2 linked regions of the Nothobranchius furzeri genome follow. Each later gene encodes a partner of the first gene's protein in a complex. Links are inferred from orthologs where the notes say so. Each region holds a gene or a part of one and is shown on either strand. Other genes may lie near its edges.

Region 1 (4,495 bases):
CCAGATCCAAAAGTTCTGGACGTGGTGCTGAATCAGCTCCGCGACCCCAACAGGAAACATCCTCAGGATCTGGACAAAGCAGTCATCGGTGAGACCTGCTGCAAGCTTTACCCTGATTCTGCTACAGTGTTTCATACATGTGCGATTAGATGAACTTTCATGATGTGAAGCTAAAACAAATGACTTGGAGGCGACCCGCTCACGTTTCTCTTTTAATGAGCCGAGTCTTTTCTGCCTGATTTCAGGACACATTTATCAGGTAAAGGAGAGTTTATCAAAGACTCCACAGGAGATGATTCCCTCTGTGTTTCCAAACACCTGAGGTACAGTTAACTTAAATGTTGTCATTAAAATGTAAGCAGTCAGATGAATGAGCTAAATGCGTCTGTTGTGGATTTAGGTTTACCAGGTGCTTTTCAAGCAGCGCTACACGGCGTCCTGACAGCCTCCCAGTTTGAGTCGGCCATCAGAGACACCATGAGCTGTGGGGGGTGCACCTGCAGCAGAGCATCCTTCATTGGAGCGTGTCTTGGAGCTCAGGTCTCACTGTTAATGTAACATCTCTAATGTCCTGAAACTATTCATGGGCTGTTTAATTAAATTTGCTTTTTTGATTCTAGGTTGGGATTGAGGGAATCCCGACGTCGTGGATGAGCAAAACCCTCAGATGCAAATCAGTCCTGGAGCATGCTGAGAAGATTACCAAACACCACCTGTAATCTGGAATATCATGAAGAACTGTTGAGCTTCTGCAGAGCTGCTTATGAGGGTTTCTGTCTAAACATGAGTGACAAAAGCCTGATGTTTTAGTCTCTGCTTGAGTTAAGCTAGTTACTTCGGATGTTCTTTGATTTGTTTAAAATGAGTCTGAAAATGTTTTGATTGAGAGCTTTATGACTGATATGTACTCATCACGCTGAAGATAAAACTGATTATGTTTAAGCATTTTCACTTTTGCTTCCTCTAAAATACAACAGGAATCACATCCATCAAATACGGAAAATGTACTCATCGCTTGCAACGAGGGAGAAAATATAATTTGAAGAATTCTATGTAAAAAATGTTTGGTTAAAATTTTTTTCTTCACAATTCATTGCTGTGCTTGGATCTTAAATTACAACGCTGCCATTAAAGAAACTTCAGATGTGCATTAGAACTAAACACTGTAGTTTTTGACTGGAGTTGGAGATTCTTCTCACTTCTTCCAATCACTGTTAATGTTAATGTGCAAATAAAGCTGAAGCTAATATTTAAATCCAGATTTCAAGTTTCTGCATTTAATTATGTGCATGCATTTGTATGACCACACCTGAGTAAAAGGGGAACTTGTAACATATTTGACATTAGGTGTACGTTTTTGTTTTATTCCCCAGAGGATCATTCATTCTGAATTAGAAACATGGATGGTGTGGTGCTGTGTTGTCTGGGATCATCAGAAACATCTGTTGTTGTTTGTGTTTAGCTTGAGCTACATGTGGGCTAGCTTTGTTAGAGGGTGGGTAACTTCTTAAAAGAAACGTCTGCCAAGTAGAACATGCGTCGTGATTTCATAAAATCTGTTTCAGAAGAAAAGTTAGTAACATAAATTCTGTTTTGTCTGGCTCTCATAAAGAGCCAACTTGATGTAGTGTGTTGATTTAGTATGTTTTTGTGGAGTGTGTATTTATTATTTGGACCAGGAAGACATGATGTCAAGTCTGGTTTCTTAGGCCTAATTTTTTTCTTAGTGTTCCTTGAAGACGACAAAAGGGTTTTAAATCATAAGAAAAATCGTCATTAGCGCAACTTTGATTTTTAGGTAAATACGAATAAAGTAATAAAGAATACATGTTTGCGCAAAAAATTGTCCCGTCACGACCACCGTAGTCCATTCTGACGACACACTTGTGCACCTCGGAGTCAAACATGGCTGGGAAAGGAGGAAAACAACAGAGTCGTTCAGGCTCCGGCATTTCGGGTAGGAAAGGTGCCGGGGAGCAGGAGGAGGAGGAGCAGCCGCTGCAGGCCGTCCTAGTCGCTGACAGCTTTAACCGAAAGTTTTTCCCGGTGACTAAGGACCAGCCACGGGTAAGCAGCGAGCTAAGCTAACATGCTAATGTTAGCTAAGTGATGTTCTGCTGTAAACAGACAGAGTTGCTATAAACTGATAGAAACTCGTTAATAAGCAATAAAAAATAGATACGTTTTAACTTTTTTTTTTTTAAATTGAAAACGTGTTAGAATTATTCCTAATCTCCCAGACAGACATAATGATACATTTTATTTACTGTCACTGTGATGTCAGGCTTTGCTCCCGCTGGGCAATGCTGCCATGATCGATTACACTCTGGAGTTCCTCACGTCCACCGGAGTGCAGGAAACATTTGTCTTCTGCTGCTGGATGGCCAGTAAAATCAAGGCGCATTTGTTGTGAGTGTTTGAGTGTGTGGGTGATTCAGTGCTTCCTGATTAATTTAAACTAAAGAGGTGGATCTGATGTTTCACCTGACAGGAACTCAAAGTGGTGTCGACCCAGTTCTCCAAACACGGTCCACATCATCACCTCAGAACTGTACCGCTCCCTCGGAGACGTGCTCAGGGATGTCGATGCAAAGTCTCTTGTGCGATCTGACTTTGTGTTGGTTTATGGAGATGTCATATCAAACATTGATGTCAGTCAGGCTCTGCAGGAGCACAGGTACAAGAGTCTCTTCTTTACTCATCAGTCTGTGGAGTTTATGCACTTAAACTGGGTTTCGCACACCTCAGGCACCGGCGAAAGATGGAGAAGATTATCTCCGTGATGACCATGATCTTTAAGGATTCATCTCCAGGTCACAGGTCACGCTGTGAGGAAGATGATGTTGTTGTAGCTGTGGACAGTAAGAGTCAGCAGATTTTACACTACCAGAAGACACAAGGGCTGAAGAAGCTGCAGTTTCCCATGGTAAGCTGCTGTTTCACTGGTAGATGATCAAACTTTTAGATTTGGTAGATCTCTAATAGATGCTTCTGTTGATGTTTTGCAGAACATTTTTCACAGCAGTAGTGATGAGTTTGAAATCAGACATGACCTTCTGGACTGCCACATCAGTATCTGCTCTCCACAGGTGAGGTTTAATACATATAAAATCCTGAATTGTATTATTGGCAACTTTAATAAAAATTTCTGCACATTTTTTCCAGGTCGCCGAGCTCTTCACAGATAACTTTGATTACCAAACTAGGGATGATTTTGTCAGAGGGCTATTGGTCAATGAAGAGGTGCCTCAGAGCTGTTTTTCCACATCACGCTGTGTTCTCCTTGTACCTTTTAGATGAGTTCTAATATATTTTCTCTGTTTAGATACTTGGTAATCAGATCCACATACACGCCACTCACGATGGCTACGGTGTTCGCGTGTCCAACTTACTCATGTACGATTCTGTGTCGTCTGACTTTGTGCGGCGATGGTTCTACCCCATCACGCCCGAGTCCAACTTCACGGATCAGGAGGGCCGCAGCTGCACGTACTCTCGCCACAATGTGTACCGCGGGTCCGGAGTCAGCCTGGGCCACGGCAGCCAGATGAAGGAGAACGTTCTCATTGGCTGCGACACTAGCATTGGCGCCAACTGCTGTCTCTCGAACAGCGTCATTGGGGACAACTGCACCATAGGTCAGCATAGTCTGGATTACACGAATAGAAACTGTCAGATAACGGGTGATTGTGCATCAGGTTACAGAAAAGTCCCTGATATCTTTTAATAATTTCTTTCAACAGGCGACAATGTAGTCCTGGACCACGCCTACATCTGGAATAATGTTCACATTGCCAGTAACGTTGAGATCAGGCAGTCTGTGGTCTGTGACAAGGCTGAGGTCAAAGAGGGCGTGACCCTAAACAAACAATGTGTCTTGGCTTATAATGTAAGCTACAAACACACCATCTGGGTACAAAAAGGCACCAAATGGTGGCGTCTCTAGGTTTTTGTGTGGTAATTAGACTTTGAACTGGTTTTAGGTGGTGATAGGACCAAACGTGTGTCTGTCTGAAGGAACCGTTGTGTCCATGCATCATCCCGAGGAGGAGCAGGAGGAAGATGCTGACGAGTTCCTCAGTGATGATGCTGAAGTTGGACACAGTAAAGACAAAAGCAAGCAGAAAGGTTTGAAATGACTCTGATTTGAATAACTAAAGTGAAATGTAGGAATACATCTGTACTTTCTTCTGTCTCCCAGTTTTCAACCCAGCTGAGGTTGGAGCAGAAGGGAGAGGTTACATCTGGAAGGCCAGCAGCCTGGATGACACGGAGGACGAGGAGCTGTCTCAGTGTCTCTGGGGTAGGAGACACATCCCATCATATAGACGCGTGAATCCCGACTCAGTTTAATTAATAATGTTTACTGGATACGACCAGGTTTGGTGTTGAACCCGGATCCGGAGAGCGACAGTGAGGACGGTGAGCCGGATGGCCCGGATGATCCGGTGAGCCTGTCTCCTGAGATGGACGACGTCAAAGGTGAGAAGCCATC
Region 2 (4,291 bases), about 9.2 Mb from region 1:
TCAATCCATCCACTCAATCCAAATGTGTTTCACACATTTGTCCTTCACCAGAATGTTTCATCTATCTTGTAATTTCCATTTTGTATTTTGTAATTTGTATTTTGTAATTTGAATTTCTTTTATTGTTGATTTATTCAATATATTTACATACAACTGTACATTGTTCAGCGCTTTGGGCTTCCTGACAGGGTTGCGGAAGGCGCTTTATAAATAAAGCTTTGATTGATTGATTGATTGATTGAACAATCCAGACATGACATTAAAAAAGACAAAGGTTTTAATTGTATGTGTCTACATTCATAACTATGAAGGTACACAGTAACGAACACACTGTGAAGCTCACAGTAATCAACTGGCAGCAATTAACAAGTAAGTTATTGTTAAAAAGGATTACAGTGCTGATGCTGAGTTTGTGATTTCCTACAGTTCACAGTACATTTTTGTGAGATTTCAAACTATTGTAAATTATTGTATTATTATTTAAAATAAAAAAATTAAAATGTGCACTTTTTTCCGTTTTCCTTTATAAAAACTGACTTTTATCATACAGCTTAATCTGTGATAGCTATACATTTTCCCCAATGCACTGATTCTACTGCCCTCACTTAACCCAATAATACTAAAGCCTACTGCATACTCTGCAAACAAGATGCAAAAAGATAAATCAGTTCACCTACACAATTAGCCAACAGGCTTTTGCCAAATTCGGCGTACTGGATTCAGTGTGCACTCTTCGTTCTATGGTGTTGCTCACTCAAGCTACGGTACTTTGTCTTTTTTTCCTCACTTGTTGCTTGCCTGGTTTTGAGCAAGCAGTAATGAGCAGTCAAGCTCATCTCCTGGCCAGAACAAACAAAACCAAAGCCACATTCCCCGAGCTCAATTTTCTGTTACGTCTCAGCTCTGTGGATTGAGAGTTTTCAGGCCTGAAGTTTGGAGGCTGTGTGACTTCTGGCTGCTAATATACTCACACTATTTTGGTGTCTGTGTGAAAGTAAATTCATTAAACATGCTTAAAAGTAACATGCATTCATATAATGTTTTAAACCAAAAATTTAAAGGGTGGGGGTATCATTGAATAGAAATAAGGAAAATATTGCAATTAACAATCTTTGAATACTTATTATCACCGGTGTTGATAAATAAAGAGATCTGTATTTTCACACTTTCTTCAGATCATTACAAAGTTAGATTATATCTTAGCTCTTATTCAGAAAAAATGTTTTTAAATTTTCTCATAAATGAAATCTGTGCATGTGCTTTCCGTTTTTTTGAATAACTACACATTCATATTATTAGACAGACAGCCATAATGCTTTCATGTAATAACATTCACGTCAGCGGTAATACCCGGTATATTCTGTAGGAACAAATGTCGAGGAATCAGTTTCCTCACGGGCACATTTTACTGAACACTCCCAATGTCATCATACTATTGCTAGCTGTTAGCTTGGCTTACGCTGTTCTTGTACAGTGTTTCAGCAAGCTTTTTGATTTTTTTCACCAACGCTTATCATATGATAAGTTTTGCTTCCAAAAGAGCTGTCTAGCTGAGTTTGACTTTGAGCATTAATTTGAGTAGCGGCATCGTTTACGTCTGTGTACCGATAGTTAGCCAGGTGCTAACTACTCATCACAACTTGCATGCGTCTGTTTCTTCTGTCATCGAAAGGCAACTGGATTTAAGGATAGGTATGCAAATGTTAACCATTCTCGAGTTCAGGCATTTTACTCGAGTTGAAGTCACTGGCATTTATTTAATTGAACCGCATGTTGTGATGCTCTTGCCCTGTTCAACCTTATGTGAGACGATAACTTTTCCTTTCAGTGAGCTTTTTCAGTCACCGGCACGTCTCATCTTGTCCCACAGTTCTTATTGCTGCATTTCAAGCTGCGCTAATCAAGCAAGGTCATGAATCTAATCTAAACGTTAAATTCTGTTAAACTATAGGAATGTGTTTTTAGTAAAAAATAAGAAAACGTTTACTACTTTTGTCAATATATGTATTGATTCATATTTCTGTACATTTACAAATAATTACAGATTATCTTTCATATCGCGTTTAACCTCTCATTAAGGTATTAAACGTTTGCAATCTAATGTTTTAAACCTAAACATAATTAGCACACAATTAGGCAGAATTTCAAACAAAATCAACACATGCATATAATCAGTCTTTACTCATTTCAATAGATCTTTTAAACTGATTTCAAATTAGCTTCACAGCTTTGAGTAAGGAAAATAAATCTACAATATATATATATATCCAACAGATGAAAGATGCCTCATGCCTACCTTCTTAAATTTCTAAAGATGTCCAGCAGTGTCATGTGCTCAAAGTTGTACAAACCTTTTAAATACCTGTGTGACCTAGGTACACATATCTACTCTCTTAATTAGTCTAACAAGAAATGCTCTTAACATGTTATTATACAGACAAACCCATACAGCTTATCAAAAATATAAGAACTTAGGTGCAGCCAAGTAGGTGCTCTGATTAAGGCAACAGTTACTAGATTATCTCAGAAGATTATGCCAAAAACCTGCAGTGTGGACACTTGATTGTCTGCAGGCAACCGGGAAGAAAGTTCTTGCAAGTTTGGTGCTGCATTTCTGCAACAAGATGACAATCTGATACAGCTAGTGAGCATCACAGAGCACTTGACCTTAACAGGATTGTGTCAAAAGTTTAGTTAAAGCAGCAAATAAGTGTACCTAGAAGAACATACGCTGATGTGAGGGCATCATGCATTGATTTGATTTCCAGTAGCTGTTCATTAATGTTAGTTTTGGCAGTTCATTTGATAAAAACTGTTATTATTTTCTTTTAAAGTCTGTTTCTCTCTCCAGACATCATGGAGCTTCAGGCGGTGTTGATGGCAGCTGGGGGAGGTTCTCGTATGACTGACCTAACATACAACACACCTAAACCTATGCTGCCTGTTGGCAACAAACCACTTATGTGGTATCCCTTGAACCTGCTGGAGAGAGTCGGCTTTGAAGGTGAGAACTCAAGCGTTAATTATAATAATTAACATTTTTATACCCTACATAAGCTACAACAAACCCACCTTCGACATGATTAAAAGTCAAATCCAGCAGTATAAGCATAAACACATGTGGGCCATCTAACGTTTAAACTGTATGGACTTGTATGTCGAGTTACGCTGTAATTTACCTTCTAACATCCTCTCAACAATCAGATCTCATGGCGGGAGGGCTCCGTGTAAGCTTTGTGCCCTCCATCCATGTCTCAGTGGCAGGATTTGGAAGAGTTATGGGGAGCACATTCTTGGTTTCCACATAAAATGTAAAGAGGCACAATACAGCTTGTAGGTTTATGTGACTCACTTGAGAAATCCGGAACTTAAAATAGAAAATAAAAATAAAAACTTGACATAAGGACTTGGACAGCATCTTTTATGTATTTGTCTACGCATAATTTTGTGCTTTAGCCTTATTTTCACAGATAAATACATAGACACACAGTTTAAGTCACAAGTAAGGATTAAAACAAATATAATGGTCCTTTGGTATGTGCTTGCTGTGTTGCTTTTCTAACTGCATTGTTGGTTATTTTTTAAAACACAGAAAAGGTTTATTTTTTACCTTTCTGCTCACAGTTTTATTCGCGGTTGCAAACTTCCTCAGAGCGGACGCGTCAGCAGCAAGGTAAAAAAAATAAACCTTTTCTGTGTTTTAAAAAAGAACCAACAATGTAAATATAATGCTATTCACCAGTTTCTTAACTTTAATGAGACAATGTAGTTTTTACCTTTAATCTCTGGAAATATCCATCAAAATGTTGTTGAAAATGAATAAAAGGATGTCCAGTTGTTGAAAAACATTAGCAGCTTCGTTACAAATAACCAAAAACATCAAGACTAAAGTACATGGCGTATTTGGGGGGTGCCATATTAGACGCCATGTTTCCTTTTGACCGTCTTGGGGTCTTGTGCCTGTTGATGACATCACACTAGATAATTGGCTGGACATGGTAGTATGAAACAGATTTAATAACAAAACTGCTAAACTCTTTCCCAGACATATGTGAAAGAGCAGAATTGAAAAGAGATGCAATATATTTTGGCTAAGCGATATTGCCATAGTGGGATGACATCATTGGCAGGCGTAGGACCCAGAGCAGATCCGGAAAGTGCAGCGCAAGAAAACTAGAGTCGGCATTGCATTCTCTCGATGGAATTACCTGAAGGACCCTCAAAGTCTGAGGTTGCATGCCTTCTGCTCCTCAGATAATGTTTACTGTAATGTTTATTTTTTATTTATTTA

What was found.
Region 2: the proteins of eif2b5 (region 1) and eif2b3 are in contact, whole or in part, in a cryo-EM structure (PDB 7VLK), measured with the Homo sapiens proteins. The link is inferred for Nothobranchius furzeri from reciprocal best matches to the Homo sapiens genes EIF2B5 and EIF2B3. Residues at the interface, in NP_003898.2 of Homo sapiens: Pro190, Val202, Arg222, Arg223, Phe224, Ala225, Phe226, Pro227, Leu228, Phe231, Gln232, Ser234, Ser235, Asp236, Gly237, Val238, Glu239, Val240, Arg241, Tyr242, Asp243; in NP_065098.1 of Homo sapiens: Arg155, Phe157, Glu178, Glu179, Leu180, Val181, Ile182, Lys183, Gly184, Leu187, Gln188, Pro191, Arg192, Ile193, Arg194, Phe195, His196, Thr197, Gly198.

What each region holds. Positions count from the first base shown.
Region 1 is NC_091751.1:63,542,254-63,546,748, forward strand, and holds the start of eif2b5 (translation initiation factor eIF2B subunit epsilon), read left to right. Parts: upstream 1-1,693; 5' UTR 1,694-1,905; coding exon 1,906-2,067; intron 2,068-2,284; coding exon 2,285-2,409; intron 2,410-2,491; coding exon 2,492-2,677; intron 2,678-2,748; coding exon 2,749-2,926; intron 2,927-3,008; coding exon 3,009-3,089; intron 3,090-3,165; coding exon 3,166-3,243; intron 3,244-3,325; coding exon 3,326-3,638; intron 3,639-3,743; coding exon 3,744-3,889; intron 3,890-3,983; coding exon 3,984-4,128; intron 4,129-4,201; coding exon 4,202-4,303; intron 4,304-4,380; coding exon 4,381-4,482; intron 4,483-4,495. UniProt on the Homo sapiens protein: Acts as a component of the translation initiation factor 2B (eIF2B) complex, which catalyzes the exchange of GDP for GTP on eukaryotic initiation factor 2 (eIF2) gamma subunit.
Region 2 is NC_091751.1:54,335,125-54,339,415, forward strand, and holds the start of eif2b3 (translation initiation factor eIF2B subunit gamma), read left to right. Parts: upstream 1-1,397; 5' UTR 1,398-1,692; intron 1,693-2,851; 5' UTR 2,852-2,856; coding exon 2,857-3,004; intron 3,005-4,291. UniProt on the Homo sapiens protein: Acts as a component of the translation initiation factor 2B (eIF2B) complex, which catalyzes the exchange of GDP for GTP on the eukaryotic initiation factor 2 (eIF2) complex gamma subunit.